Lepisosteus oculatus: one gene and its partners. The protein of the gene in region 3 interacts with the protein of the main gene of each other region in a pairwise test. Links are inferred from orthologs where the notes say so. Each region holds a gene or a part of one and is shown on either strand. Other genes may lie near its edges.

Region 1 (9,567 bases), on a different chromosome or scaffold from region 3:
TCAAATAACCCAGGTAAGTGTGCATCGTTGTCATGGAAACATTCCATTAATGGCAGGACTTCACTGTTTTCTGAGTGGGTGGGAAAGCGCCAAGGGCCAAAAACAGTCTGTGGTTGGAGAAGGACTAGGAACCGTCTCCTGTGTTCAACCACTCCTAATGGGCTTTCTGCTCCAAACACTTTCTTGCGATTTGTTAGGAGCGCCTTGGTGAAGCACCTGTCAACGTCTGTTTGACTGCCTTGAGATGCATCCCTACTTGGCATGCAAGACTGTCTGAAATCCAGTCCAAAAGATGGCAGCCAGTTACTGTATATCATGTTTTATAGCTCAAGGCTTTATTGTTTTTGTTGTTTATTGCTCTTAGTCAGTGACAAGGTGCGCTATCATTTGTTTACATGACTCAGTAGTTGAGATCCGGACTGTGCGCTTCCTGGAAAAAAAAGAGGTTTACGTCCATGTGTACAATGTACTTTGGTGCTTTGCCATTCTGGAAACCACAGCGATACGAGACACTCATGTTTGCACTGGAAGGCATGCATAAACAAGGGGTCAAACGGTCTGATAGAAACTGAGCAATGGTGAATAATTGTTTAGATGTTATGTTCTGTACACTATATCTCTATAGCTGCCTGAGTTTGAACACCAAAGACAATAAGAGTTAGCAAGAGAGCTTCCAAAGTACGCAACCTACAGAACGTTCAACATCCTGCTACTTTTTTGGTGTCCTGCCTCCCTGAAATTGCTGCAGTAATGTTACCTACTGTCCAAAATTAATATTTAGAAGGCTCGCATTAGATGTATTTGTGAGGTACATGATGTATTTGTAAGGTTTTCAAACTTTTTAAAGTGATGACCCCCTAATGATGACCCTCCTAATGTAAAGTATAATGTTGGGTACTAAGAAAGGAGAGACATCCTAGTTCTCTTCTACAACTTGTAGAACTGTAAAAATAAAAATGTTAAAACAACTTTGATAACTGTAATTTAATCTTTAAAACTAACAAAATGGCAACTCACCTGAACACAATACTTGAAAACATTGTCTTACAGTATCTTCCAGGATGATATAATTTTAGGGTGTACATCCCTGAAGCAGAAATGATCATTCTTCACTTAAATTAAAAATGAACATATGGTATTAACCTAAAATCCATGGTGTTTTACTTTTTATCTCTCAATTTACAGTAAATTTAAGACCACTCACTTAATCAGGAATCTTTACTCTCTGTGCGTGCACATTGCTACGATTATGAAACAGACAAACGTGGAAAAAGAAGCAGATTGTTTAAGTCTCTGCTATTTCGTCAACAGGATCATAGCATATCGTATTTGTCTGCTTTAATGCTTCCTGTTGATAAGCACTAAAATGTGTGCAGAGTTGTCGCTACCATTGCACAACTTTGTATGTATTCCAAACAGCCGTGCAGATCAGATGAGGACTGCTTTGGCTGTCCTTAAACATTGCACAGAAAGTGGCTCGGGTCACAGCTCATTCACCTCCGGTATTTTCCATGTGTGGAACTCCTGAGATTCCTCCGACTCTTAAAAAGAAGCTGGTCTTTTTGAATGAGCTTTGATTTGACAAAAGTGTGCCACACTCACAGGTTCAAATCTCTGTACTGTACTCTCATACACACTGGCATCATCAGTGTTCCAAATAAGTTCCAAAAGTAAAAATATCAAATTTTACACAGCAGGATATTTATAATAAATACAATTTATAAGAAATACAAACAATTCATATGTGATACATTTGTGCAAGGCTTTAGATATTCTGACATTTCAATGCATTTCTTCTTGGTAGAAATGAGTTTATATGTTATACATCTGTATATTTTTTTATGATGATACTGCATTATCACCCTTTTTACTGGAAGTACTAAAAGCCTAACCTAGTTAGCAGTGGGTGTCTATCAGACGCCCACAACATCTCTGATCGATTTGGGGGTTTTGGTATTGCTACACAGAACCAAAGACACTGTACCTAATGAGCCATTTAAGCAGCCTGAGTTTCAGGGTGTGGGAGGGGAAAGACAGTGTAGGAGTAGGACAAGATGACAAACTCAATCACCGGATCTGAAAAGCAAGTGAGCTTTATCAAAGCAAGAAAGTGTTTACCTCACTACAGCTTTGACTGCATCTGAAACCCAGCTTATCTCCTCCCTTCAGAAACACAGCAAGGTGTTGTTTCCTTCCTTATTTTAAATTAAGCCGTTTTTTTGTGATATAAAATAAAACCAAGAAAAGAAGAAGATTTTTTATTAAATCAAATGTCATCAATTCCGAGGGAGGATTAATTCCAAAGTAGGCAAACCCTGCAAAAAGCTGTAATTTTCACACAGTTTCTGGGTCTTCAAAACACACTTTCGTAATCTTTTTGTGCAAAAAAGGCAGACATTTCCTTGCTGATTTTTACCCACAACATCCAACTTTTTATATAGTTTTATTGCAAGAAACGTCTCCTAAAAATGCATTAAAAAATCAAGCGTTTACTTTCAGCGTTTACTTTCCGGATTTCATATGAAAATAGTTTGGTGTTTTATTTACAGAATTCGAAACATATCCTTGACACCCTACATAGCCCTTCTTAAAAGGCAGTCTGCCGCACGTTGTCGTCAACCTCGGTCACGGCGTTTAAAAACAAGGACAAGATCATTTGTACAGCAGTGCATGGCCTCCAAATCCAAAACCACAATAGCTTCTGTCACGGTTTATAAAGAAAATCACATTTCATACAGATATTTTAACACATGACCAGGAAATCCCAGCAGCCTCGACAGGGTAGTTTCACCTGTTGAGCGTTTGCCAGGCAAAACGAGTGTGTTGCGAGACTCGGTCGCGGCCCGTCACGTTTGAGTCTTCTTCAGGTACTCCTTTCTCCCTCCCCGGTCCCCACCGAAGTTCCTGACCCGGTGGATTTTCTCCAGCTGCTGCTCGATAGTCTTCATGATGTTCACTTCGTCCGGCAGGTGGACGTACCGGACATTCCGCCCCGTGACGAAGAAGTCGTCCAGCCGCCGCAGGCCGCCCCGTCGGTCCTTGTACACGACCTCCTCCAGGCGGACGTTCATGAACGCGTCCACGTTGACCACGCGGCCCCGGACCACGCTCTCGTCCCGGAGGTCCACCGTGGTGACGCAGCCGTGCAGCCCCTGCAGCAGGACCACCAGGCTGTTCTCGGCGATGGTGCGCTCCCTGATCGAATGGGACACCGCCATCGTGCTCTGTACGAACGAGTGACAGGTTTTTTTTTTAAAGGAGGGCAGAAGTATCCCCCCCCCACCCCCGGAGAATCCTAAAGAAACGCAGTTTAAACTGTACCAATAAAGTGATGTGCGTGCTGCATATTAAATGTCTCTACTGGTAGTAAGCCAGGAGCAAACTAGTTCAGGAGATCACTTGAGTCAAAGGTTCTTTAAAACACCATGCTTACAATTTGAATGCACAGGAACAGGTTTTTTTTTTTACCTTAGTAGCTTGTATGGCTTTATTCCATGCTGAAAAGAAGAGAGACGCAACGTTTCGGGCTGTGGAGTCTTCTTCTTTTCAGCGTGGAATAAACCTTTACCTGTTCCCTTTGCAGCCTGCGCATGCTACTCGAACGTCTTAAAATTTGAATATCGGGACGCGGGTTTTGGTTATCATTGACAGACAAAAAAACCCAAACACATGCACGTTTTCATTTTTAAAACGTAAAAATATGCTTTGCAAAATGCCTTGAAACATTCACGAGGTCGCGGAAATGATTGCTTGACCTAGTTCAGTAAGTTTACTTCAACAGTCTAATCATCTCGGTTATATAGTATTTGCAGTTCTATTTTCAAACTAGTTTCACTACTGCATTACGTCGTTCTCGAAGTCGCCCTGCGCCAATTAACCAAGCGAATCATAAAATCTGCCCACAAGGAAATTATACAATTAAAACCCAAACTTATTTACCTTGCATGTGTCTTTCTAGCACACTGATGATGTCAAAGAAGGCTCCTTCATTAGACGTCACGCCTCTGAAAAAAGATTTATGCAGTCATACCCCCCTCTAGCGGTGGTTTACTGCAAATACTTTGGAGTTTGTGCTGAAAAGTGGATTGCTTGTCACCTGTTATGCTGAAAACAGCATCTGTTTAGGATCCTAAGCCAATTCGAAAACAGAACATTAAGTCATGAATGTATGTTTATTGAACATCTCGATATAACTTAACAAAAAATAACTCACTGTACTAATCACAGTAGAGTCATTGAAATAAACATAAATAGCAATTGCACAGGTAATAAATGATTGTTTAGTTAAGCAGATTTACTTACCTTCTTTAAAACAAGATTCAAACAGAACATAGGTATTCTCAGGGCCTCATCAAAAAACAGAAAAAAAAACGTTTTTCCCTATAAAAATCATTTGATCATCAGAAGGATACACTGATGTTTTCACTGTGTTATGAAAGTCTAAAAATAAAAGTCTACAAGACACATTAAAATGTTTAGAATGCCTTATATCTTCTATTTCTTATATCTGAGCAACAGTCCAAGATTTGCTCATTGTAGTAGTCACATTCCACTTGTTTATTTTCTAGCTCCAAGATGTATACTTAACTTTAAAATCTTAAAAATCCAGTGTTAGATACGATTAAATCATTTTGGACCCATTCCTTTGGATGATAAAGACAAGTGCTTGTGTTCTTTGCTGAGTTCCCCTTTTCTACAACACATTCACTGAAATAACAAAACCTATAGACATGAAAACAAGAGAGTATACATACAGAGGCATCTTTACACAGACTTCTTAAATCTTGCCAGGAATCTTAGAAATACTATCTCATCAAGTAGAAAAAATAAAGTTCCTATGAAGCAATAGTATTTCTGTTCACAACAAAAAATAACAACATATATATAATGTTTCGGCCGTGAAGCCTTCTTCAGGTGTCAGGTATATATATTCCCTTTGCAAAATAAATCTCTTTACATCAGTGATATGAAATTTTCACAATGTAATATCATACCCACTGAATATACAATATAGCTATTCACTTGCTTCAATGTCTTCTTTCCAGCCACCACAGTGACTGAGACAAGTACTTTACAGGTTAAACAGCTGACCTGACATTAAAATAATAGGGTCCCACCAAAAAGAATTACCCATTACTGGCATGATCTACTGAGTAATGCCCTCACTAGAAATTTCATGATTGCTCATCCGTGTAAAAAAAAAAAAAAGACAAAAAGACTGTTATGAAGAAGATACTTTAAAATCACAACAGACCCAACTAAAACAAGCAGGTCTCGGCAGCAGATGGAAAAGAAGGCAAAGTTTTATTAAACTGTACAGATGGATTCAGCCTGCAACAAAGTTGAGACGGCACAGTGTCTTACAAAGTTCTAAATACAGTATCTACATTTGTAATTACTTACATTCATATGTGTTCGCCAGTAGGAAAAGGCTTATAATGGAGTTAATTTTACGGAATAACAAGTTCCATAGTTTCTATTTTCTATTGGTTTTATTACATATGTTGCTACTTATTGTTTTATAGCTCATGAAAACTTTCCTGACCCTGACGTGAACCACAGCAGTTGGATATACAGCTGCACGACATGCTGATTCGTTTTCAATGTTCACCAAAACCAGTCAAAAGGGCTCATGGACTGGCTTTCCCGGGTCTCGTTAGTCAGAATACTCTGATCTACGCTACTGAGTGAAACCATTTTAAATAAACAAAAGACTTGACAATCTAAACTGAAACTGGCACGCTCCTACGTCTCTCACCGTGTGAATCGGAGTCTTCCCCAAAGTGAACTGATTTATCCAATCAGGGAACATCTCAACCCCTTCCTGGAAACCACACCGAGAGGGGCTGAATATTTGTTTCAAGTGGCTCATGGTTGCTGGGTTTCATCTTACAACTCCTGCACACTACTCTTTCTCCCCCCGTCACCTTTCCCACGAGAGTACAAAAAAAATCCTATTATGAAAATGACGAACAAAACGCCCTTATACTCGTAGTCTGAATGACTTCTTCACATTTTTGGTACCAGGCTAGCAGCAAGTCATGTCTGCACAGTGAAAATAAAAGTTTGGTGATTGCAAGATCCCTCTAGTCTTCCTGTCCCAGCAGCCTCCGGGAAATGTCACAGGCCATCCATCATGGCCAGCAGGTTGTCCCCCTTGCTGCCCGGGCTCTGGGCCGGTCCTGGCTCTTCCGCGAACTCCCCCATGATACGAGCCAGCTCTGCGTTCGCATGCTGGTCCTGACATTGACAGACATCGTCACCGACAGGGAACCACAGCACAATCACAGAACAAGAAGGCTGATTAATCTTGATTAACTTTGTTTTTCTTTAGCTCAGAACATGAAACATCAAGAACATTTGCAGCCTTAATTCTATGGAATTACCATACTGCAGGAAGTCTCTCTCCAAAACCAATTCATAATTGGTCTCCCTGTGGTCTTTTACTTCTAGATTACTTGTTTTTGGGTATGAAATGTAATACAATAAAAACTGCTAATTTTTGACTCCTTTGATTTTTTAGTTAACTACATTAATAGTACCCATTTTACAACAGAATTTGCTTAACCAGTGTTTTCCAGATTCACTCTCCCCATGCTTGTCTTAGGGCAAAGCGTTGGCCTTATGTTTGGATAAGAAAGTAGTATAGTTTTGACTCCAGTTCTAACTTCTGTTCAATTTGCATGTTGTTAAAAAATTTAAAAAGCCAACTTGAAGTGTAATAAATGCTATTCTTACCTTTGTAGCTTGTATGTTTATAACCTGGTATGAAAGTTCTGGAGGCCTTGATATCAAAGCTTCCCTGTGAAAAAGTAAAATAGTAAAAACAGAGTGGTTTCATAAGACATATAAATTCAACACACATTTCTCACAATCCAACACACATCAGTTACAAAATATAAACAAAATACTAACTTGCACCTTCATCTATACAAAATGAGTTTCTATCTCAAGACATCTCAAAGTTTTGTTTTAGTTTTTAATGTAAATGTGAAGGAATTAATATATTTGGGTGATCGGGGATTATAAAAACAGAAAAATCAGAAAACATACTCTTCTTCCTCGTCTGTTGTGAACAAGTTGACCCGAAACCCTCCATCAGTATTTGCAGGCTTCTTGACTTCCAGACCTCCCATTAATCTGGCCAGCAGGTTCAGCTCTTCTTTTGCAAGAGGATTAGGGGCAGCATTTTCCTGGGGGATCAAACGTTTTAGTTTCAGAAACAGAGATATTCCCAACAACAGGCAGTTCACCTTTCATTTGGAGTTTCACTTTTTTAATTTGTACTCTATCTTACTGACGAGCTCCGGAATTACTTTAAAGCAGCCATATCACCCTGCAACCGATAACTCACTGAAACTAAGCAGGTGTGAGTCTAGAAGGGAGACTCCCTGGAGAAAAACTAAGGTTGCTGCTGGAAGTGGTGTCAGTGGGACCAGTAGGGGGCGCTCCTAATGCCCCAGTATAGTGTTGGGGACACTATATTGTAAAAAGGCCTCGTCCTTCGACTTAAATCCAAGGTCCTGACTCTCTGTGGCCACTAAAAATCCCAGGGTGTTTCTCGAAAAGAGTAGGGCTGTTACCCAGAACCCCAGCGTCCTGGCTAAATTTCCGATTGGCCTTTACCATCAGTACGCCTCTCCCCCAATCAGCACTAATTCTCTTGCTAGGCTTGGTGGAGCTTGTACAGCCTGTAGCATGTCAAAAGAATGTCAGTGATAGGTTTTTTAAAACAAAATAACTAATAGTGGAGTTTCGGAGACACAGGCCGCAGACTCACAGCCCACTCAGTATTGATGGAACCACCAGCTTTAGGTTTTTGGGAATTCACATTTCTAATGATCTAACCTGGACTGTGAACATGGACATTATCTTGAAGAAAGGCTCAGCAGCACTTCTATTTTCTGAGGTGCCTCAAGCGATGGGGGATGCCACTACCTGTGTTGGTGAACTTCTACCGCTGCACCATCAAGAGCATCCTCATTAATGGGATCACCGTGTGGTACAGCAACACCTCTTCTCTCGAGAGAAAAGCACTGCAGAGAACAGTGAATGTGGCCCAGAAGATCACCGGCCGTGGTCTCACAGAGATTAAACAGCACTATGAGGACCGCTGCTATGGTAGAATTCTGGCCATCACAGAGGCCAGTCACCACCCCGGACATGAGCTCTTCACCCCACTGCCCTCAGTCAAGAGATATAAGAGCATATGGACACTTACCACCAGATTCCTCAAAAGCCCACAAGCAGCGCGACTGGCGAACACATTTGGCCATGCCCTTCGGACCACACCTACACCATCTACCTCATTGTAATTTTATTTATTGCACATCTGCAGTCATTGTTTACATTTGAACTGTTTACTTGTCGACTTGTACAGTGTCTACTTTTTGTTTGTATATTGCCTTGATGCACTTTTTTTTAACAATCGAGAGACTTTCTGTAAGTAAGAATTCCATTGTACCAGTACTGGCAATAAGGCTCAAGTTCAAGTGTTGAAGGTGTACATCTGCAGATCATCAGGGCAATTCTGTAGATACAGATAGCCACAATCTGAATTTCAAGCAATTGCCAATTCCAGATTACGAAAAGGATCGACACTTGACAAGTTTATTTCCATTGATTTGATAATGTCTGGGCATTTCCAAGAATAAATTTGCAAAAAATTAAGTTTGGAAAGAGCATGTCAGCCATTCCACAGTTAGAAGTACTTTCTGTTTCTGTTAGGACACCCTCTGAATTAACATTTGCTGGAAATACATTGGAAAAAGACATCAGGTCCGGACCTGTGTGCTCTGTCATCTCACCTTGGTGTGCGACACAGAGCTTTTGGATGTTCCTGACATGTGTGTTTCCACAGGGCGGCTTACACTATACCTGTAATACAAGATGCAGCATAAACATTTTCAAAACCACTAGCAAGTAACATCATGTTACACTGCGGGCTGGAATGAAACATCAATCATCCAAAGGCAATCAGGCACTTCATTTCTTCTAGCTGTATCTGTAAATGAGCCTGGTGTGTCAAGGCTCATTTTTATTACATCCCTGTTTAATTATTACTGAGTTTTAATTTGAGTAGTAAATGTAGTAATGATACTTACATGTTGGTGCCCAGTTTAATTACTCTTTCACCATAAAGGTCAAAAGATCCTTCCCGCAGAGGACTTGTATAATTTCCTCCGCTAGGGAACTCTAAGCTTTTCACTTCTTCACCACTGCCATTGAATATTCTAAGAAAGAAATCACAAAAACAAACCTCGCACTTAGACTATTACTAATCTTAATGATAAAAAAGTGTGTTGTAAGTCAAAACAAACACTTTAATTAACCGCAAAGAATACTGTCTAATCCAATCAGGAAAACAAAGTCTACAAACACAAAGATAAATTATGTAGCTCAAAGATTTTCAAAACTATTATACAGTATATAACAGAGGAATATCAATTAATCCTTAGCCATTAATCCTTCAGATATTCACATGGTTTAAGATCTTCATTTAGAACATTAAGGAGTAACGTAACCTACTGCAGGGTATTGTCAATGAATACACTACCTGATGAGCCC
Region 2 (10,502 bases), on a different chromosome or scaffold from region 3:
ACTGTTGGGTTATTTCTTGAAATAGCTGACATTGTTAAAATTTCTGTTTGTGACTCAGTGAGAATTGAGCATGCTTTTAAGAATCTCAGTTAAAAACTTTGGAAAGCAAGGAAGATTTTTAGAAGGTTATAGGCAACAATCCTCTGATCAAGGCTGTACATCTTAGCACCAAGGCACTTGAATAAGTTTTCTCATGGCCCAGAACAAATTTATATTAAAAACTAGTTTTTATTCACTGTAGTGTCCATTATCTGTGAGTATGTTTACCTTCTCAAGAGGTTTAGTTTTGTTTTATTTTTGATTTTTTATCTTTTTGAAGAAGTCTGAATTTATTAATTACCTTGTTTATTCCCTTCTTATATCAGTACAGTCCTAATTACTTTTGTGCATTTTTACAGTATCAGCCAAGGCAGTTTATTTTAATGCTTAAAATGCCAAACTTTTAGACAAGTAAGGGACATCTTTGAGAATCCACATTAATTGCATTTGGAATAAAATACATGTATGCTAAAAAATGTAATGATGAAAACTATTTTTGTTTTACACACTTGGGTATCAAGTTAGATCTCCCTTGAACTATATGTACATGTTGAATTGTCCCTAAACATTTACCTTCGTCTTGCAATATTGCTTTCTTTTTATGCATTTTAAATCTTCAGTGCATCTTGGTAATTGTTAATGAAATCCATAAGCATAAAAAGTGCTCTGGATTAGATTTAGCCATAAAATGTGTTTTGAGAAATCACTACTGTTTTTTTGCTTTTAAAAAACTGTCATTAAGCTGTTTTCTTAGACATTTGCGATATTATTTTGGAACTTGCTTATTGTCTAACACCCCTTCCCTGTAATATACTTCCTATTTGTTCACACTGTTTCTTTTATTTAACCATGCTTTTGTTCTTTATCATATATATATATTTAATTTTTCATTGTCTGACAATCCTCTGTTGAGATACCAGTTTCATCAGTTCATTGACAATACTTACCTGACATAATGTAGGTACTTCGATGTATATGATGGGGAGTTTCACTTTTCCTTATTCTAAAGTACAGAGAATGGACCAATAGCAATGACATGGCATTCTCAAGATATTTCTCCATCTTGCAGGAGAAAATATCTCATAATGTTTCTGTGTTAGTTTGAAGCACAGTTTGCTGCCACTAGTCAAGGAGCTATAGAAGCTCACATTGATTTCCTAAAGCATAAAGAAGTGTATTATCATAGTTTTTCTCAGTGGCATGAATCCCAGCTTTGACTGGTACTAGAGAAAAACCACAATCACTTCAGACACTTCTCGGTGTTCAAAATTCTGGTCATTGGGCATTCCTGCAAACTTCTAGAAAAGTACTACACACCTTTCTGCAGTGAGCAGCAGCAGCCAAATCCTGCTCCACTGTTCTGGCCAGATAAATATTTCATATTGAAACGACACATTGTTTTAGAGGAGGAGCCGAAAGATTTTTTTCACCACTTGCCCCTTTGTAGCCCCCAGATGTTGGATTTGAAATCTTGCGCTTTTCGCAAAACGTTTTGTGGCCTACTTTAGCCATTTAGATTTCAGATGTGATGGAGTGGTTAAGAGGGATCAACTTCCAATTCACAACACTGAAAATGGTCTTGTACCATTAGCAGGTGCCTTGGCAGAACTCGTAGAAAACAATATTACAAGTAGTCTTTGTCAAAGACTTTCCATTCTTGGTTTTAGGTGGTACTGAAGAAGTGTATTATTTTAAGGTGGCTGGATTTTATTTCCCATCAATGCAGATTTGTTTTTTTTTTTGTTTATATTGCAACAGTCTTGTTATACTAAATATTTTCAATTATTGTATCAATTCCAATTGTATGTTGGAACATTTCTGAAACAGGGTCACACACCCACCTTCTCCTGTCACTGGTCTTGCCTAGAGTAAGAGCAGTGCCGTGCAGTATCAATTTCGGCTTCAGATGTGCTGTAAACATTTTTCGTTACGTTGCCTGTTACCCGTGGTTTCTTTAGAAATTATGATCCCTTAAGTAAATGGAGCACCCTTCTTGTCTCGGTTGAGTTCTCATTTTAAAGGAGTTCTGATGCAAAAGGTCTCGGTGTTCCTCAGCCTGTTACAGAAGGCGATGCCACCCTCTTGGAACTCCAGTGGCAGGTGACCTGGTTCTTAAACTTGGCAGACGTCAGCCCTGTCGCGGGTGGGACGCTGGGTAGCTTTGAAACCATAGTTAGCGTGATTGAATACCTGGAGGGGGCCCAAGATGCACTCATCACCCTGATACCCTGCAGACTTCATTCAGTTTAAGTGTACAGTCTCAAAAATGGCATAACCCTTTTTCTTTGAGAAAAGAAAAAAAAAGATATCTATCTCTTAATTGTGTGTATATTTGTAGTTTATGCTGTAACATATTTAGAAGCTTTTTTTATAATGAAAAGGTATATAAAGCAATTCTTTACAATTGCTACTGTTTATAATTTTTTGTAGCGGGTTGTGATATTTTGCACAACTTTTGTAATGTAAAAAGTTTCAGCATGGTGTTTGATTTCATCCTGCAGACAGTAGTAGTCTTTTTGCTTGAGGGTTCGAGTTTAAACCCACAGACCTGCACCCTTTTCCCTAACTTGTATCCAGCAACATCTCATTTCTTGGTACCGAACTGTGTAGATAATACTAAACCAAGTTACACAGAATTTGTAGTGATGAAGAATATCTGAGTGCAAAGATTAAACATACTCTGTTGTATGTCTGGGATGTATCATTTTGTGTTTTGACAGATGTACGAGACATGTTCCAAGTGACTGAAGACAAAAGCGACTGCTTAGACAAAAATGATCTTAAGTAGTGTGCTTGTTACATGTTTTCTGAGTAACTACAGCAATTTACCAAGAGATATTTTGTAAACTATATAGTATGTCTTGCGCTTACTATACATTTTGTTAGTAATAAAAGGAAAATTGATTTTTTTTTAAAATATCTCAACCTTACCATTAATTTGTTTAGGAACAAGTAATAGGTTTATTCCATGCTGAAAAAAAGAAGAAAGAAAACAACTTTTCGGCCGTAGAACCTTCTTGAAGTTTTCTTTCTTCTTTTTTTCAGCATGGAATAAACCTATTACTTTTTCCTTTGCAGCCTACGCATGCTGACGCAGCTACCTACCTGAATTAATTTGTTTACCCTCGTTTTAGCATTTGAACATAGTGCCCGGTCATATTTAGGCTTTGCATTCTCATGTCCATCAAAGCCTTTTGCAAGGGACTTGCCTTCTGCTGGAGAAAAATATTTGAGAAAATACTGAATTATCAGGAGTGAGAAAGATGTACATGCAGTTTCTCCAACATACTGTTTTTGATACTTTAAATTGAGTCCATGTTGTGTGCTCTCAAGATTTTAAATAGGTCTTCTGTTGCTTTAATTCCACAATTATTGTTGGTCTAAATAAAATAATGGAAAATCAGTGCCAATATTTTTAAGTGTTTAGTGTTGTCTCACTACAGTCTGGTCAAATATTTGTGTATAAGCTAGGCCATTGGCCGTAGATGTTAGCTCCAGGCCTTAGTCTGTGTAACATTTTTTCTTTGTTTTCTTTCAGAGCGTTTTGTTAAACCTGCTGTAATTTCTTTCGTATAAATAAAACTTGTAAATTTGTCATAAAAAGCTTCATCCTGTCTGCCTTAACTAGTTTCCTATATTACAGCAAAATTCCCAGTGTAGGTTTTTATTTTTGTCTTAAGCCAGCAGCCATATCACCCTGCAACTCACAATTGGCAACCCACTGAAGCTCAGCAGGTGTGAGCCTGGTCAGTACCTGGATAGGAGACCACCTGGGAAAAACTAAGGTTTCTGCTGGAAGAGGTGTTAGTGGGGCCAGCAGGGGGCGATCACCCTGTGGTCCATGTGGGTCCTAATGCCCCAGTGTAGTGATGGGGACACTATACTGTAAACAGGTGCCGTCTTTCGGATGAGACGTAAAACCAAGGTCCTGACTCTCTGGTCATTAAAAAATCCCAGGGTGTTTCTCGAAAAGTGTAGGGGTGTAACAACCTGGCCAAATTTCCCATTGGCCCTTACTAATCATGGCCTCCTAATAATCCCCATCTATGAATTGGCTACATTACTCTGCTCTCATCCTCACTGATAGCTGATGTGTGGTGAGTGTTCTGGCACACTATGGCTGCCGTCGCATCATCCAGGTGGATGCTGCACATTGGTGGTGGTGGAGGGGAGTCCCCATTACCTGTAAAGTGCTTTGAGTGGAGTGTCCAGAAAAGCGCTACATAAGTGTAAGCAATTATTATTATTATAAGACTGTACTGGTTCTGCACTTTAAGTATCTTCAATGAATGTGTATGTGAATTTTACTGCCAGATAGTAAAATCAGAGGGCAGTGTCTTTGCTGTTAACAATAGATGCTATAAGCGTTTTCAGCCACTTCTTTTCGAGCATTAAAAAGACATTTTAAAGTAGCTTTATGTGTCATTTAAGTAACGCTTGGAATCGAGGACGGTAGAATCAAGTTCACAAAGTATGAAAACAGCAGCTTTATAATGATGAAATCGAAAATACAAAGGCGTACTGTATCTGCCTCTGCCAATTGCTTTATTATATATTTTCCATTGTGTAGGAAGTCAACATCGGAAGATTCACATCCAATTACTTTACCGTTACAAACCCGGTGGATGTCATAAGAGAAGTATTAAATCTAGACTTCAATCTGTTTCGGGTAGCGATGTTTATTGAATTTTACGTCTGTGGGAAATATACGATCTCTTAAAAAATAAATCACTCTGGTGAGCTCAAACCTACAGTATGTCTGTTTACAAAGCTGATTCAAAATCCCCAAGTATTCAATTTTTGCGGTATTTTGTTATTACGGTTTTTTTTTGCGATAATCCATTCATACAGCAATAGCAATTTCTACAACTGGTACCCTTTCATCATTCTGTCATCACCAAGATTTTTAAAAACAAGGTAATGTTGTACTCGATTCTGTCACAATTTCCTTGTTAAAACAATTTTGGGGCGGTGGTAAACATACAGTTCGTAAACATACCACCATGATACAAAGAGAGTATCACCATGATATAGCGGCAGTGTTTGGTGCAATTGCGTTTTAAAAAGCAATTTAACCAGAGTTCTGCACTCTCGTTTAGAAATCTAGAAAGATCATATGAACTACAGCACCGTGCTTATTTATATAAATGGAATTTAATAATAAAATTGTGACTTAATCTCCACCAGTCACTGAGCTTCGTGTTCTAAATGTATCTTTATTATGACCTCTAAAGCACACAAAAGTTAATTAACCTAAGAACCTTTAGCCTTAACCAGTTGTCATCTTTGCGACAATGGGCTCTGTACCCAAATCGCAGTTTCCTACAAATTGTGTGTTAGCAGAGCTGTTATCTGAAGTCTAACCTGCACATAAGCCGTCACATCCGTGAAGATGACTATGAAATACACTTAATCAACTGCGATCTACTGCTTTCAGACTCACCTTGGTTTTATTTTTTATAAACAGTTTAGGCAATACCAAATTCGTGTTAATCACTTTGAGGAGAGATCTAAAAAGATGTAAGAAATACATGTTCAAGATATGTCTGTATCACCAATGCTCCAATACTTGATATTAATCAACCATCATTGTTATCAGTAACGATGAAGATGGCTAAGGTCTTCAATTGTGCAACTAAACTCCAGTCCTGTAGATGGCGCTATTAAATAATCGTACCGTTCTTTGGCGCTGTGCTCACGTCTTTGACTTCAGGGCAAGCTTGCCCATATGTTTGGCGGGGGATAGCTTCAGAGGAAGAGAAGCAGCCTAGAGAAGCATGGGGTTTGTTTTCCACTGAGCGACTGCGGGAGTGAGGCGACTTTTACGGAGAAACAAACAGACCAGGACTGTACCCTTTTGCTCCAGCCTTTCGTTATAAATACAGCCGTGCGAGTGAAAACTGAATCGCAGTTTTTATTTTTATTTTTTTTTTGCCCTCTGCTTGATCGGATTTCTCGCTGTCGTTTGCGGTTTAGGCCGGCTTTTCTCGGCGATCTGCGGGGCTGTTTCTGTGTCGTTGTTTTTTAACGGGGGGTCAGGCGCGGCACTTTTCCTTAAGACGATGGTTTTGCTGAAAAACGTCTCCCCTCCCAGTGAAGGCGTCAGGCACCAGCAGGCTGAAACGACGGCAGTGCTGGATGGCAAGGGGCTGGGCTCTGGCACCCTCTACGTTGCAGAAAAGTAAGTGCGCTATCACACGGGTTAGGACTGGTCAACTGAAAACTCTTTTTCGCCTGCCCCTTTGATGTGTGTAAAAAGCGAAAGAGAAACCTGTTTAGGGTGGGAAAAAAAGTTCTTGCCTCATCTCACCCTGCTTCTCCAGATGATCAACAGGTATCTGAGGGGGAAAGGCGACACTGCCCGGTGTGCGATGTCAAACACGTGACAGCGCGCTACACCTGTGATGGCCAAGCACCCCTCGCCAGAAGGAAAACCCCCAACTCTTTCCGATGCGTCGTTTTGTACGATCGTCCTCTCCGATTGTGCCAGCAGTAAAAATGCATCATCAGCAGATGCCAAAAAAACTTTCTCCGGAGTCTTTCTGGAAAAAAAAAACAACATTTGCGAGTCCGCAGACAAAGATCGCGTCATCGTGGTTTTGCCTGTGATTTCGGACTACTCCTATGCAGTTGGCGCGATTGAGACGTTGGGGGTGTAGGGAGTGACTCGCGTGTGCACCCACCTAATCCGCCACCGTCTTTCTTTTCGTGTGTTTTGTGACAGCCGCCTGTCGTGGTTTGACGTGTCGGGAAAGGGCTTCTCTCTGGAATACCCCTCCATCAGCCTCCACGCCATCTCCCGCGATCTCAGCGCCTATCCCCAGGAGCATCTGTACGTCATGGTCAACGCCAAGCTGAGCGGTGAGGCGGCGTGCTGTTGATGAATGATGACGGGACAGCTGACACTAAGAAAAAAAATCTTTAGAAAGGGACGATCGACTGGCAATCGTAAGGATTACAGTTGAAGTTGGGGGCTGGAATAAAGTAGTTTAGTGATTTGCTCCGATTTGAACAGTTATGAGGAGGAAAAACGCTCCCTCTTGAGAATACATTGGATTCAATAAACCTATTTCTCCAGGCCCATCAATATTCTACATAGTGTAAAAAAAATACAGTACAGCCTTGTCCTGCCCAGCAAGCACATGAAGGGCTAAAGTGTGCCTGTTCGGTTCTGGATAACATACTCGTGCATTCATTGCGGCTGAACTAAATTGGCACCAGCATGGCACTCTTTTTTGTAACTACCTGAAAACGGTTTGAAGGGAAGATCGGGGAATAAACCCTGTGCAGTAAAGGAAAAGAGTTGTGGTCTTTCATGCCACCTCAAATGCTGATTATTGACTGAACAGGCTTTTGAATATGCAGGCGAGTCCAGCCTTGATGGCCATATCGCAGGTAGATATGTGGAGCTGTGGAGGCATCGCAATACAGCAGTGGGTGGCTTGGGCGGCTGCGTTTATTATTCTGTGCTCGTCAATGCTGCCTTGCACTCTGCTGTAGAGTTATTCTCCTGGTGTTCCAAGCATGAGAGAAGCAAAGAGACCGTTCTTTCTTCCCTTAGGGTCGTACAGTCTCAAGCTGTCTTGAACAGCCCCGCACAGATTTCCACCCCGTTCTATAGCCCTCTGCTGAAATAAAAGCGCATTGTTACTCCCAGGGACTCCTGCCAGTCCCCACTGCAGAAAGACATTTAAATAAGCCTGGAAGCTGCTGAGCACAGATAAGTAGCACCCAGCTATAACATAAAATTAAAATGAATGTGATGCTACATTTTAGACAGCTGGTATTGTACTTTGTGTTTGCTGCCATAAAGTGCCGATGTTTATTTTGGTGTAGCTGGAAAAGATTTGTTTAGGAACTAGCAAATGCCTAGTCTGGTTACTTCCACAAGGATACAGGAGATTACCACTAGGAAATCTGAAGAAACTTCGCTTTTCTCTTTTTGACTGGATATTATTTCACTCTTAGTTTATTTAAATGAAAGCAGGACTTCTTTGTATTCAAATATAAAGAACTTACAAAAGCTTCACATTGACTTTGCACTATCTTTGGGTACCTACTAGCAACAATCAGCAGGATGTTACCTCAGTGAACAGCGAAGCAGTGCCATAAATCATAAGGCCTTGTACATACCTTCCACTGAGGGGCACAGACTGGCAAGGGCTCTCTCTAAAGCCTGCTACATGAGCCTTTTACAAGCTACAGTAACAGTGCCTTTCATCTAAATCCAGCCCCAGCCCCCACTTTTGGCTTAATGCCATCTCTGCCATGTTGGTGTTCACTTGGTCAAACCCATTGAAGTTAACATGAATTATACTGGATCACGGGCCAGGAAGTTTGTTTCTTTTTTGCTTGTTTGGCCTGTTAGCTGTGCATCTATGGTGGTGGAATCTGAGCTGTGCAAAGCCGGTCTCCCAGAAACAAGAGTCCCAGTAGTCTGAGAGGCTTGCCTGCGGTACTGTTCTGTGAAAGTTCTTAAAGTGACGCTTCCCTTTCCAGGCACTGGAGAACGGCACTCCTTAAACCAAGTTTTAATTTTACCTGAACCATTTGGAAGGACAGACGGACCAAAATGATCATGCTCTAGGCTCTCTGCGCAGTGCAAGCCAGCAAGTACAATTAGACCCCTTTGGCTCTCTCTCTGTAGAGGAAGCATGGCCCTGGCTTGATTTTCTCATCCCTTTCTAGATGAAGAGGTGACAGAATCTCAGATGGAGGAGAAAGCAGCTGAAGGAGAGGATGAGGACGATGAGAGCGATGACGACTCGGACCCCATCACAGAAATCCGATTTGTTCCCAGTGATAAGATGGCGTGTGAGTTTGGAAAAATCTTCCCTTCTGTGCTGTGCCGGGTGCTCAACCTGTCAGTACGTATGATAGCCTACGTAGTTGTCAGTGTTTGTAATTTGTTTTTTGGGGGGTAAAAAGTTTTTGTGTTTTTCCCTGAGCAGATTAATTTGTGTATAGTCCCAGCTGGTGTGCTTTATAACTTTAGTTTACAGTAAACGGCAAATACCATGTAACTGTTAGACTATGGAAGGAGTTTTTGAAGGATTTACGATTGAGTAAACAGGGTGAAAGGTGTACAGGGTAGGATGCTTTAACAAAGATGAGAAAAGCTAATATATATGCTGAAAAGCTAATATTTACACTGAAGACTAAGGTGGTAGGGAAAAAAATGCTGAGGAAAATAGTCAGAAGGTTGAAACTAGAGGTGGTGATGCGTTTGTAGAGGCCTGTGGGAAACTGCATGAATAGGGTTCTGGAACGGTCCTGAAAGAGAATCCTGGCAAGATTGTGGAAGACACCCTGAGAGCGAAGCCTATTCTCTGTGTTGCAGTGGAGCCCATGTTCTCTGCCATGTGTGAGTGCCAGGCACTGCACCCTGACCCTGAGGACTCTGACTCCGATGATGAGTTTGAAGGAGAGGAATACGATGTGGAGGAAGCTGGTGAGTTATAGGGCCTGGAGGACAAACTCCTGTAAAACCTTGTTTCAATTTTAAAGTGAATGGCTGTCATTTTTTAGACTGGGGTGCGGTGGCTCTGTGGCTAAGGATCTGCGCCGGTGGCTGGAAGGTTGCCGGTTCAAATCCTGCAGCTATCAGAGGAATCCTACTCCGTTGGGCCCCTGAGCAAGGCCCTTAACCCCAGCTGCTCCAGGGGTGCTGTACAATAGCTGACCCTGCGCTCTGACCCCAGGCTTCTCTCCCTGTCTGTGTGTCTGTGTCTCACGGAGAGCAAGCTGGGGTATGCGAAAAGAAAACTTCCTAATAATTGTATAGGGCTAATAAAGTGATGTTATGTTATAAATTCCACACCTCAGATTCCATATTTGAAATCGGGAGTTTTCCCATTCTTCTTAAACCAGCCCTTGATGAGTCAGCGGCAATGTTTGTTTGATTTGCATTTGTTTGTAGGTTTTAAAAATTTTGGGGGGTTTTATAACGGGGAACTGCAGTCCCAATTTCTCAGACCGGTTATTCAATCTAATTAACAAAATAAATGGACGAAAAATTGTACAAATTTTGAATTGAGCACCAAATTGCGAACTTCTGTGAAACTACTGCAAGTGGCCTGTGGCTGCAAACTCGCATCCGAGTTCCCACGAATTACGATGTGATGCGGCACTTCCTGCTCACTAGTCTCCACAATGAGTAATGTAATGCGATGTACAAGCAAATAGGTACAGGTTGTGCAGCCGACATTTCACCACAGAAATGTTCCAACGTGATATGCATAATTAAATAAGTAGTACTTGTTGGCAAAACTGTCTCAAAATCGAGAGCAGTATTTCTATCGGGTTAAAAGAGATATATTCACAAACATACTTGTTTACAATGTCATTGGGCCGCTTCACCTCGCCGGAAGTTTTATTGCCTTTCGTTGAATCGCAGAGCATGGTGCTACGCATATTTAATCTGTTTTGTGATATAAATGGGAGGTTTGCCACGTTACTCTGTA
Region 3 (11,137 bases):
GTTCTGCCAACATTTTTTTATGTGAGTGTTCTTAAATGAACACTGTCCTTTAATACTGTCAAGTGAATGACAAAACAAGAATTTTACCAAGCCGTGACTATTTTTCCATGGGTCTGCAAATAATGAATGCAAGAGGGATGAGTTATCCTCTGTATGAAGAATCAAAGGAAGGATATCAATATGAGTTCTCACCTGAAGTGAAGGTCAGAGGCAGAGCTATGGCCTTGGTGTCAGTGAGAGTCAGGAGATTTTTGCCACTGGTGAGAACGGTCATCTCCTGGAATCCTTGACAGGTTCCCCAGATGGGAAAATAATCTGATGCATCATTTGCCTAGAAAACACCCCAGGAAATGTAAAAATGCACATCAGCCTGGCTTTTCTTGGGATTTCTTCGGTACGAGAGGAGTGAATGTCTCCCTTTCTTTATCTTTGCATAAACCCTTTTGTTTCTCACTGTCACTGTCTACATGATGTGCCACACCCACGTTCTGCCTTCTTACACAAGGATGTCTACGAGGCCATGGGATGTTTCTGTCACATTATACACATATTCAACTTTTATTTGACTGATTGAACAATTATTTCCTTAGTTGAACACTAGTCCCTTGTCCAAAACATATAGGTATGACGTGTAGTACATACTGGATTTAAGCAGGGCGAATTACAAATTAAAAAAGCATACATCATGTCAACATACTACGTGCCTGTGTACCAAAAACAAAGTTCTGTATTGTTCAGGACTCACTCCACAGAATCCCAGCGGCTGTAAAAAGTTTCTAATGCCAGGGCTTTTTTCTTCTCTCATGCTGTTGCAGCCTTGATTTGCATATACCTTAATTAACATCCTCACTTCATTTCACCCCTCTGAAGCTTTTTTTTACAAAAATAGTGATGAACAAAGGTTTAGTTTTCTGCCCATCCTAGAAAAATGGTTGGATTGCAAGGGATAAAAAGATAAAACAGCATCTTAAATCTAAGTATTAAATATGTTACGTACTGTACTTGATAAATTACCTAAGATCAATTCAAATCATGATCAACTGTCCATCTGTTTAGTTGCCTGTAATGTACGGGCTGGAGGATCTCATTCAGCCATTTGTTGAAGGGTCCTAGGGGTCAGCTTTGACAGTGTGGATCTGCAGCTTATTTGACACTGATACATTTTCATACAAAGTCATCCCCCCTGTTCAAAGTCCTAAATCTTGGCTTTTACTTTATGACTGAGCAATACATAATCTATATTGTTCACCACTTTAATCTCTTCTTATGAGTGACTAGTAAGATTCACTTCGTATCATTTGTTATATATTCTGTTAAGACCCAGATTTGTTTTCTGGTTGCTCTTTTTATAAAATACTACTATCATACTGTCATACTCATTATCCATTTAGCTGGAAATTGAACATACCTTTATTGCCAAGTCATAGAATATTCTGGATACTCTGCCAAACTGGGAGTTTTCAAGATCCACATCTCCACCGGGAAGCAGTAATCTACAATAATGGAGAGTACACTTGCACTTCACACAGTTCTTATGATGTGTATATATTTTAACAGATAGAAATGGCCATCTTCAAATGTGAAAAAAAAACAAACATATGAAATAAATATTAAAAAACATACCCATTTATAGAATAGAATAACTTGGTGTATTCTTCCTTTGTGCGGTTTATTCTGTGAAATGACAATGACAATGTAAAAGCATTACAAGATTTAAACAAGCTTTGTCTTTTCTTACTTTTGCACATCTTACATCTGTTCTGAATGTCATCATCTTTAGTCCCAAATCAAATCTCAGCATACATTTTAACATGGTTTCCTAGTCATGCTCAGTTCTGCCTTAAAAACCTTACCTATGTTAATATTCAAATGTTCAAATGCTTCTCTGTTTCCTTCTCTCAAGAACAAATTGTAATTGTTAGGAATCATGGAAATCTTTAATACTCATGATTTAATTTCATGTTTTAACCTTTTAATTTGGTGACATCTAAGTTTGTGTCCTTATCCTTTATGTAGCCATAAATTTGGAATGGCACAAAAAGCATTATGAAAGTGGATTTTAGGCATTTACACTTATTGTGATATACACTATACTATTGTGAGAATGGATGGTACCCACAGACATTTATTCATTCAGAATTAGTTTGTTCTTGACAGAAAAAGAGGTTCTCCACCAAACTAAGTTGTTTTGGGCCGCTGAAATAAAACAGTCCAACACGGACATTGTCTGTAGTCATTAAACTACTCTGATGGAATCAGAATGTACTGTACAACTACCACGCAGGTATTTAACAGAGCCTGTAATTACTTAACTATACAGTTTCAGAAAACAAGACAAGAACGAACAAAGGTTATGTTGATTTAGTACAGTTAATGTTGCATGAATACGCCTGCAATTTCCCAGGAAACAGAGCAACTGGTGCTTTTTTTTTTCTTTCCTGTCTGCTCTACACTCCTGAGTGGAAAGATCTTACCTGAGTGGCACAACCCTGGCTCCAGCGGCCTCCAGATATTTCACATATGAAGCAGCAATGTAAGATGAACCCTGTGCGTGAGGGTCACTGGGAAGATTTTCTTGGGCTACGATCCCTGTAGAAGAAAAAAAAAACGTCTGAAAAGCTGACTCAAAACAATTGAAGGAGTAAGAAGTATCCGTGTTGCCAGATTGTCTGAAAGGCTCGGATGCCTGTGTTGTCACTAGAATTTTGATCATGTAGCTCTACTTCTCCCCAGGACAGAACAATATGTCATAAACATTACATGAAAAGCCTTTAGCATTGCAACGTCATCGGGAATAAATATTAAGTACGGTAATATGTTTCTGTAATACATGTAGCTATGTATTTTTATCATGAATTGGTGATTGAACAGTACTGTACCTCACAATGCCATGAATGTAGACTATATATACTGTACATAAAATGTAAAGTACAGGTTTGAGTAGGAAGCTGTTAGTATATTCATATTAATACTTATATGTGGAAGCTTCTGTAAAGAAAGCTCCATAATTTCAGTTCTTACTATGTATCATAGTGTTGATGTCCATTTCTAACTCATCTAAAAGGTTTCAAAATTTGCTATCTGTAGGCAGTCCATCTCAGTTCAGGTAACTGAATTTTCAATTGCACTCCTGAATTCTGCTGACAGCTGAACCCTTTCCAAGCACCTTTGTCTAGGAATCCAGAAACCCTCCAAGAACCTGTATTCATCCTATTATTAATTTATACCAAATAAGAGAGGCACTCAGCAGTTCTAAAAATATATGAGAAAATCATATAATCAAAACTATAATTATAAACAAGTAGAAGGGAACATGGTTTATGACTATTGCATATTCTTGAAAGTTCTGATATTGGATTCTCCAGCGTAAGGTACAGTAGGTAACGTGGTAATTCAAGCAACTTCTATCCAATAAAGCAGAATAAGACAAACTTCTCTACAATGTAAAAATCTCAGCTTCAATTAAATTGTTTATTAGCTCAGTCACTTTGGACCTATTGAAATCTCCCTGAGCACAGGAATGTCTCTGGTGATCGAAAATAAAGAAACTTCTTTATGTTGGAAAATGCATATTTCTCTGATATAATGTTCAAAACAACGTCGTAGAGTCTACCCTGGGATTTAACACTTTTTCGTTTAATTCTAACAGCTATTTTTTATTTGAACGTTTCACTAAGAATCCCTTCTTCAGTTTGCCGAAAATAACGTGCCATTTTCAACATGTCACAATAATTAAAAATGTTTCCAAATACCAGAACAAATCTTCCCACGCGTATCTGATATATAAATCCGAAATTCTATGATAAGACAAAAATACATGCAAGTGTAAAATATAAAATCTTAACATCCCAACCTTTTATCAGACAAATACTTCACGCATGGTATTACATAACGACTTGAAATTACACTGGCGGTAAAATACATACATTTTCTACAATTATAGATGAGCTCCAATTACTGTATACACCTGCGCATTTAAATGAATAAAAGGTGTGGACAATCGTTGGCTCCCTTACAAAAATAACCTTTGAGAATTTTTAAAACACTCAAAAAAAAAACGTTTAGCAAAATAGTAGCCTGAGTGATGTCACCTTACCAATGATGGGTCTGTAATTTGGAGAAAGGCTAGAAAACGCTGGAATCGGGAGATAACAGATGACACCGACCATCACCGAAAGAACAATAGCCGAAGAGCACATGATAATTTCTGAACTGAGAGTCTTTAAAAAAAACAAATAAACAACTGAAGCCCCTAATTAAATTAGGCCTGATATACAGTATATGCGTATGATATTGAACGACAAAACCGAACGACCTCACTGCGCTACCGTCTATAGCTGCTGCAAAATGCTCAGCACGCTGTCATCTGCTATTTCAAAGTAAAACTTAACCCGTTATGTCCCATTACTGTATTAACCCGTTAAGAGGCAACCTGATGTGTTGTCTTCATTGTCATTTTTTTTCTTTTTCGTTTCACTAAAAAGTTGTCTGACGGGAGGAGTCGGCAGTCTTGTGTGGACTAATCTTGCCAGCCTTCATACAAGGAACATAAGTGGTATAGACTGAAATTGTTATTTGTGAATGAGTTGCATACAGTATTTGGGTTTATTTTCCTTCTTTGTTATATCAAACAAATGCCACCTTCTATCTAAGTTTATTTGTCCCTTAGGCCAACATTGCTGGAAGTCCACAGATGAGACCACTTCTTTCATTGCTAGATGATGGCCTTCCCTAGATGATTTTATACAATATCTGCCTTCGACTTTCCACTTCCTTCTGGATTCTGCAAACTCATTATCTTTTGGTACAGTGTAGTACTGAACCTGGCCTACCATAGTTGTATCTGATTGGAGTGACAGTCATATGAGAATATTTATTGTATATAGGCTACTATGCCGTTTCATTCCTTGATAATGTCATGCAATTATATATCATGGTGTTGTAGATAAATTGTGTTTATGTGTATATCATAAAGGCAACTATGTCTATTATGTATATTGACTGCCAAAAGAAACCAATTATAACTGTAACAAATGGACAGAGGGAAATTACTTTTTTGTAGCATGCGTACTGACATTTTATTGAACAGACACATCATAGTTAAAGTCCATATAGTTTATTTTCAGAAAATAAAGTTTATTTTGATGCTTAGTACATACTTTACATAGACACTCCATGGCTCTTCTGTGGTCCTATCAGACTGCCTTACCTTGGTCATGTGTAATAGCAGTAACACACCAACAACTCCACTACATATCTGACTGAAATAAGGGGGAAATATAGGTAAACTAGATTGTGCAAGCCCAAAGCATATTTAGCAAGGTCATTGGCGTGGACATCACTACTCCTACAAACAGTAACACTGGATATTTATGGGCCATATAGTCACAACCTTTAACTGACAATTAGAAATGCCACAGTTCTACAACTCTCCAAGTAATAAATGTAAGTCTGTTTGGTCAGTAGTAAATTCAGAAGAGTTTATTTTTTAACACATGCATGACACCCCTGTAAAATTTTAAAGGTCCACATTGTGCTTCCCAGTTAAAAAATATGTTTAAATCACAAAATAGTGCAAGCTGCTTTTCACTAAACATCTCAGTGGTTGTGTTTTTTTCATAAATCCCTGAAGCAAAATTTACAGCTTGTACTGATCACTGTCAACGGAGCTAATTTACCTTGTATTTAAATTCAGCAGACTACCAGTTGATAATGTACAATATGTACAATATGAACTTGGCAATGCTTCTGTTTTTACCAGGTGTTGAATGAGAAGTTCTTATAAGATTCTTTTCAAAAGACTGGCAATGTACAGTTTATACTTTGAAATAATCAAAATTACAATATTTAAAAAGTGTGTTAATAATGCATCGCACACCTAGAGTTATGTTATACTGGTAATTAATAAAGATGAAATTACTGCTGAAAGGGGAATATTTTGTTGTAAAATAAAACTGTGAAACACTAGATATACAGTAAATTCCCAGTAAAAAAAAAGAGATTTAGTATCTGTTTGAAACTTTTTTCTAAAATATTTATCTTATCTTTGAGTACCTGTGTGAAGTTAGTTATTCCTTGCTTTTTGTTCAATGTTAGTTACAAGGGACCAGTCTGTGTTAGCAAACCTATCATTGCACTGCAGTAAAGGTGGGAAAAGAAGAGAATATTTCACCATTTATTAAACAGAGAGAAAATCTTAGGAAGGTAACATTTAGTAACACTGAATTACATTTTTAGTAAACGGAGACCACCCCACGTGTACATTCTTACAAACAATGCCATATAATCCTTAAATACAAAAAGAAAACATCCCTTGAACTGTATCAGCATCTGGAAAACGTAACAATTATAATCCCAACTGGTGAAATACAACACCACCATCTTGGTCTTTGGCATCATTTAAAAAACGGAACAAAAATGTTTAAGTGCTTTTTCGTCTTTATTTCAGCTTCGTTAGCCCCGATCTTACTCGCCTCTTTCACTACACTTATTAAAACAACTGATCGTGTCTCTACACATGTCAATAAGAGGTTCTCGCGATAAAACGCACGCTCACAAGGAATTCTGGGAAATTTGAAAGATGGCGGATGAGGTGGACCAGGTTGGGATTTTTTTTTTTACTTTACTATATATTTTTGAAATTCCTGTTTATATGTCTTGCTTGTGATCAGAGAGTGTTTTGTAATGTGATTTTGGCTTTCCGCAAAACCAGAATTCACGTCTATGTGGTGATGAGAGTCGGTAATCTGGATAATAGCCAAAACATTGCAGGAGCGGTAAAAATGAATTGAATTAGCTAGGTGTTTTTTTCTGAAATAATAAGTGGTGATATGGGATGCATATTATATAGCTTTTGGCTTTCTGTATCTTTATATGCAGAAGTGACTAAATACAATGTTCTTGTAAATCAACACAGACGTCATATTAGATTACTGAATCCTTTTAAAATTAAAAAAACAGATACTAATGTAATTTGTATGGCTTTAGTTAGAGGCTCCAGTTTACACAATTTAAACCTTAGGTTTATCTGGACAGTGCACTGTACCGAGTTTTTGTTTTCCTGTTTCAGCAACAGACTGCCAACACTGTTGAGGAGCCTTTGGATCTCATCAGGCTTAGTCTTGATGAGCGTATCTATGTGAAAATGCGCAATGACAGAGAGCTAAGAGGAAGGCTACACGTGAGTAACACCATCTCCGTTTTAAGGCCAGTAAACGGGGAATAGCGGTTATAGTGCAATCTAAAAGATGTTAGTGGCTATATTGACAATTACGTGAATGATTTGTTTTCTAAGACTTTAATTCCATTGTGATAGTACATTTGATTCCATGCTTTAGAATTGACCATTGCTTTAGACAGATAAATTATTAAGTTGTTTGATTACTAGAATCAGCAGCTTTTCATGTTTTGTAATTAAGATTAGTTAGTGTTTTTACCACTTAGCAGAATCAAAGGTAACTCTATGTAGAAGACTTAGGAATTGTTCTGAAGAACTCAGTACTAAGGTTATGTCATATTTAAAATAGAATTGAAAATGTTCTATATTGATTTCTTTCAGGCATATGATCAGCATTTAAACATGATACTGGGAGATGTTGAAGAAACAGTAACCACGGTAGAAATTGACGAAGAAACTTATGAAGAAATTTACAAAGTGAGTTTTTTTTAATTCTTTAAATAAACTATTAATATCTTCCCCCTTTTTGCCACAAAATCAAATCTTCAGTTTTCGCTCTGACTGTACCGAACCCAAGTGACAGGAATGTAATCCTCACAGTTGGAGAAACATCTTCTTGCGTTTTCTGACATCCCAGTTAGAAATGGTGAAGCTTAAAGAAGTTTCCCTTATCAATCTCTTCTTTTTTTATTTCTCTCTGACTACTCTGGTTTGCCTGTGCTGCCTTTTTCTTTAATTACTGCTTCTTACCTTTTTTTTAAATGATTGGACCATCTCACTGAATATTGGTATAGTCTACAAAATATGTTTTCTTGACATTTTTTGTGCCACATGTCCCACTACACATTAGAGTGAAAACGTGTAATTAGTGGTTTAGTTATTCGGATTGGTGTAGGCTACATCATACGTGTACAGTTCTCTGTTTAGATTTGTCAGATTGCACCTTAACATTCAACTTTCCTTGTGAGAATGTGCATTCAGTACCAAAAAATGAATAAGTGATTCCCAATTAGTTTGAAAGAATCAATAATACCAGTTGGAAGGTATGAGACCGTTAAGAACGTTAAAGATTTTACTAACCACTATTTTTCAACACATAAAAGAAACAATGTAAGATAGTTTTTTTACCGGGTGATAATATCCCCAGATGAACCCATTATATATATAATATCCCCATTATTCTAGCAGAAACTTTGATCTGCTGATTTTGTGTTTAAGTATCTTCTCAAATATAAAGTGTCTTCCTTTTCCTCAAAAAACAGAGGCACCATCTACTGTCTGCTTCTGTCGAGTGCCTGCTCATGTCTCTTTCTCAAGTAAATGTTTGTCTTAGAGTCTAAACACGTTTAATGTGTGTTGATGACTTGTTTGAGGTGCAGGGTGTGTAGAGAAAATAGCAAGCATACATTTTGCATATCTGCCCTGAAATTATAATCGGATTCAAATTTCTGCAGTCCTGTTAGGTTCAATTGATAAAAACTATAAAATAAAAATATTGCAAGTTGTGTGAAAAGAAAATGTCATTATGCAACAATTGGTTCATTCAGAAAAAATAATTCAGGCATTTTCATGTTACGTAAGTAACATTAAAAATGTGGTCATTATGCACTTTATGCCAAATTACAATTCCTTGGGTGTCAGTTAGTTAATAACCAAATTAGATAATGCAACCAGCAAATCAACTGTTGTTGTTTCCAGGTCCAAGGAAAACAGTATTTTGTTAATCCCTGTGGTCCTTCTGGTTCATGTAGTTCTTCTGGTTCTGCTTAATGTATTGGGTACCAGCAGAAGTGATTTTAATTTGAGGTTTTGCTACTATTAATGTTCTCATTTATTTGAAGATAAGAACTTGTAATGTCATTGGAAAGCACCTTGACTTCACATACAAAATATGCATAACACCAACAGACAACCTGACATTACAAAAGAACTGGAGTTTTAGGACTATTGAGCCGATTAATCCATTTTGGATTGATATTTAATGTTTACTGGTAATTGTTTACTGAATTAGATTGCATGCAATCTAATAAAATTGCTTCTGTCGTAACTGGAAATTCATGTGAACAAAATTATACATTAAGGAAAAATAGCTGAGAATATGAAAAAATCTAAAATGCTAAGCATAGACATCAACGTTTTAGCTACTGAAAGCTGTTTGGAAACCTTTGCTTCATGCTTTTTATTTCCTTTCCTCTCAATAAATATCTTGAGCATTTTGTACTTTCATTGAGACAATGTTATGCTACTGTGTAGTCTGCCTTAATAATGTATCATTAAGAAAATGTACTCTGAGGAGCTTATTCCAAACTATCTAAGCGTATTCTTGCTTTGCTACATTTGTCCAGAGTACTACTTTCCAATATCCTCCTCACTGTCTTGTATGTAGCCTTGGTCATAAATTAAGGCTGTAATCTATCAATAGTCATAACCTTAGCTAAAACTTTTTTTTATTTTTTTTTGCATCAAACTCTGGTTTAATGCAAGGAGCCATAGTATTCGTCAAAGTTAAAATTCCAAAAGTAATGCTTAAAGTGGTGTGGCTCTTTCTAATGGGTTAAATAAGCTCTTAATAATTGTAGCTCTAAATAATAATGGTTGCATGATTTACTTTATTTACTTTTTTGAAACTATTTCCAATATTACATGTAATAGATTCACATGCACATTGCAAGTTTAGTCATGTTGTTAAAAGATTGTCTTTTTTCATTCCAGTCCACAAAGAGGAACATCCCAATGCTGTTTGTTCGGGGAGATGGTGTAGTTTTGGTTGCTCCTCCACTCAGAGTTGGTTAGACTCCATGAGTTCTGAAGGAGAATGCACTTAAGATGCAACATAAGAGAGATTTTTGATTTGGACTGTTTACCAATGGAGTTACGTAATTTTATAAAGAAATCTAAGTTAAAAAGGAGACTTAGTCCAGCTCGTCAGTTTTGATGTAAAATACCTTCTTGCTAGCTTAAGAAATTTGCATTTTTTGTATTGTAACTAGAATCTGTAAAGATTTTTTTTTCTCATTAAAAAAAGAAAATAATTTGTGTGGTTTATTCAGTGACATTTGATGGTGTGGTAACCACTTGCTTTTTGAGGTCACATGGAAGGAAATTGTGCATATCCTCAGAGAAAATACATATAGATTTTCTAGGTCAATTTTGTGTGCCTCTGTATTTTTAAATTGTTGTTTTATTTCATATCTGTGCATCAATGGGTGTAGAACCTTGTCAGTTGCCATTGGTGTACAGTTTTTTGGTTTGACCAAAATGCAGGGCTACGATTGGGAGTGAAACAAATGAATAATTGTAATGATGTTTCCTTGGATGAGAACACGTAAATATGCAAAATCTCATGCATCTTCTTTCTTTAAAGGTTGTTTAAAAATGTACAGAGTATATGGAACTGGTTTTGTTTCAGAAAATCTCTGAATCTGATACCAATTTATAAATGCAATTGCAGTCTAAATGTATAAATCAAAGGAAGTCTAGTGATAATCTTCCAGATATGCTATTGTCCTCAAAAGCCAAAGCCCTGAGTATTGGTGTTAATAATGGCCTGCGATCTCAGCTGTGACTCAAGACAGCACCATGATTATAGTTGAATATGCAATGGCAAAATATATACACTTTCAAGGAAGGGTTGGCATAATTAGTTTTATATTGCTGTGCGATAGCAAGTTTCTCAAGACTGGAATTGTTCTTGAGGTCTTTAATAGATGTTCAATGTGGTCTCAGTGTTGATGGTGATTCTGTCCTGGATGTGGTCATGATAAGCTGACATCATTTTGTATGGCCTCTGCAGTTATCTGTCTAAAATATACATCCATTTGCCTGTCCTGGTGAGCAACAGGTGGTGCAAGGTAAGGTGCCAGCATGCCAGTCCATCAGAGGAAAGACTCATTTTCCAGGATGGAAAATCCTAGGAAAACTAGGAAAACGAGTAATTCCCTTACTTGCGTAGCACGAGGT

What was found. The genes of interacting proteins can lie anywhere in the genome.
Region 1: the proteins of lsm3 (region 3) and U7 snRNA-associated Sm-like protein LSm10 interact in binary tests that used the Homo sapiens proteins (3 or more experiments, as listed by UniProt). The link is inferred for Lepisosteus oculatus from reciprocal best matches to the Homo sapiens genes LSM3 and LSM10.
Region 2: the proteins of lsm3 (region 3) and clns1a interact in binary tests that used the Homo sapiens proteins (3 or more experiments, as listed by UniProt). The link is inferred for Lepisosteus oculatus from reciprocal best matches to the Homo sapiens genes LSM3 and CLNS1A.

The regions. Positions count from the first base shown.
Region 1 is NC_090706.1:4,890,853-4,900,419, forward strand, and holds U7 snRNA-associated Sm-like protein LSm10, read right to left. Parts: upstream 4,121-9,567; 5' UTR 3,940-4,120; intron 3,868-3,939; exon of another isoform or gene 3,847-3,867; intron 3,225-3,846; 5' UTR 3,219-3,224; coding exon 2,847-3,218; 3' UTR 2,243-2,846; downstream 1-2,242. Other genes in the region: oscp1b (protein OSCP1), read right to left, coding at 6,121-6,240, 6,739-6,802, 7,054-7,193, 8,808-8,877, 9,105-9,233, 9,557-9,567. UniProt on the Homo sapiens protein: Appears to function in the U7 snRNP complex that is involved in histone 3'-end processing. Increases U7 snRNA levels but not histone 3'-end pre-mRNA processing activity, when overexpressed. Required for cell cycle progression from G1 to S phases.
Region 2 is NC_090700.1:9,905,676-9,916,177, forward strand, and holds the start of clns1a (methylosome subunit pICln), read left to right. Parts: upstream 1-5,760; 5' UTR 5,761-6,101; coding exon 6,102-6,220; intron 6,221-6,763; coding exon 6,764-6,900; intron 6,901-8,727; coding exon 8,728-8,853; intron 8,854-9,379; coding exon 9,380-9,490; intron 9,491-10,502. UniProt on the Homo sapiens protein: Involved in both the assembly of spliceosomal snRNPs and the methylation of Sm proteins.
Region 3 is NC_090699.1:59,412,541-59,423,677, reverse strand, and holds lsm3 (U6 snRNA-associated Sm-like protein LSm3), read left to right. Parts: upstream 1-6,523; 5' UTR 6,524-6,580; coding exon 6,581-6,601; intron 6,602-7,069; coding exon 7,070-7,180; intron 7,181-7,558; coding exon 7,559-7,654; intron 7,655-9,889; coding exon 9,890-9,970; 3' UTR 9,971-10,209; downstream 10,210-11,137. Other genes in the region: gamma-glutamyl hydrolase, read right to left, coding at 193-331, 1,409-1,493, 1,624-1,674, 2,475-2,589, 4,097-4,199. UniProt on the Homo sapiens protein: Plays a role in pre-mRNA splicing as component of the U4/U6-U5 tri-snRNP complex that is involved in spliceosome assembly, and as component of the precatalytic spliceosome (spliceosome B complex).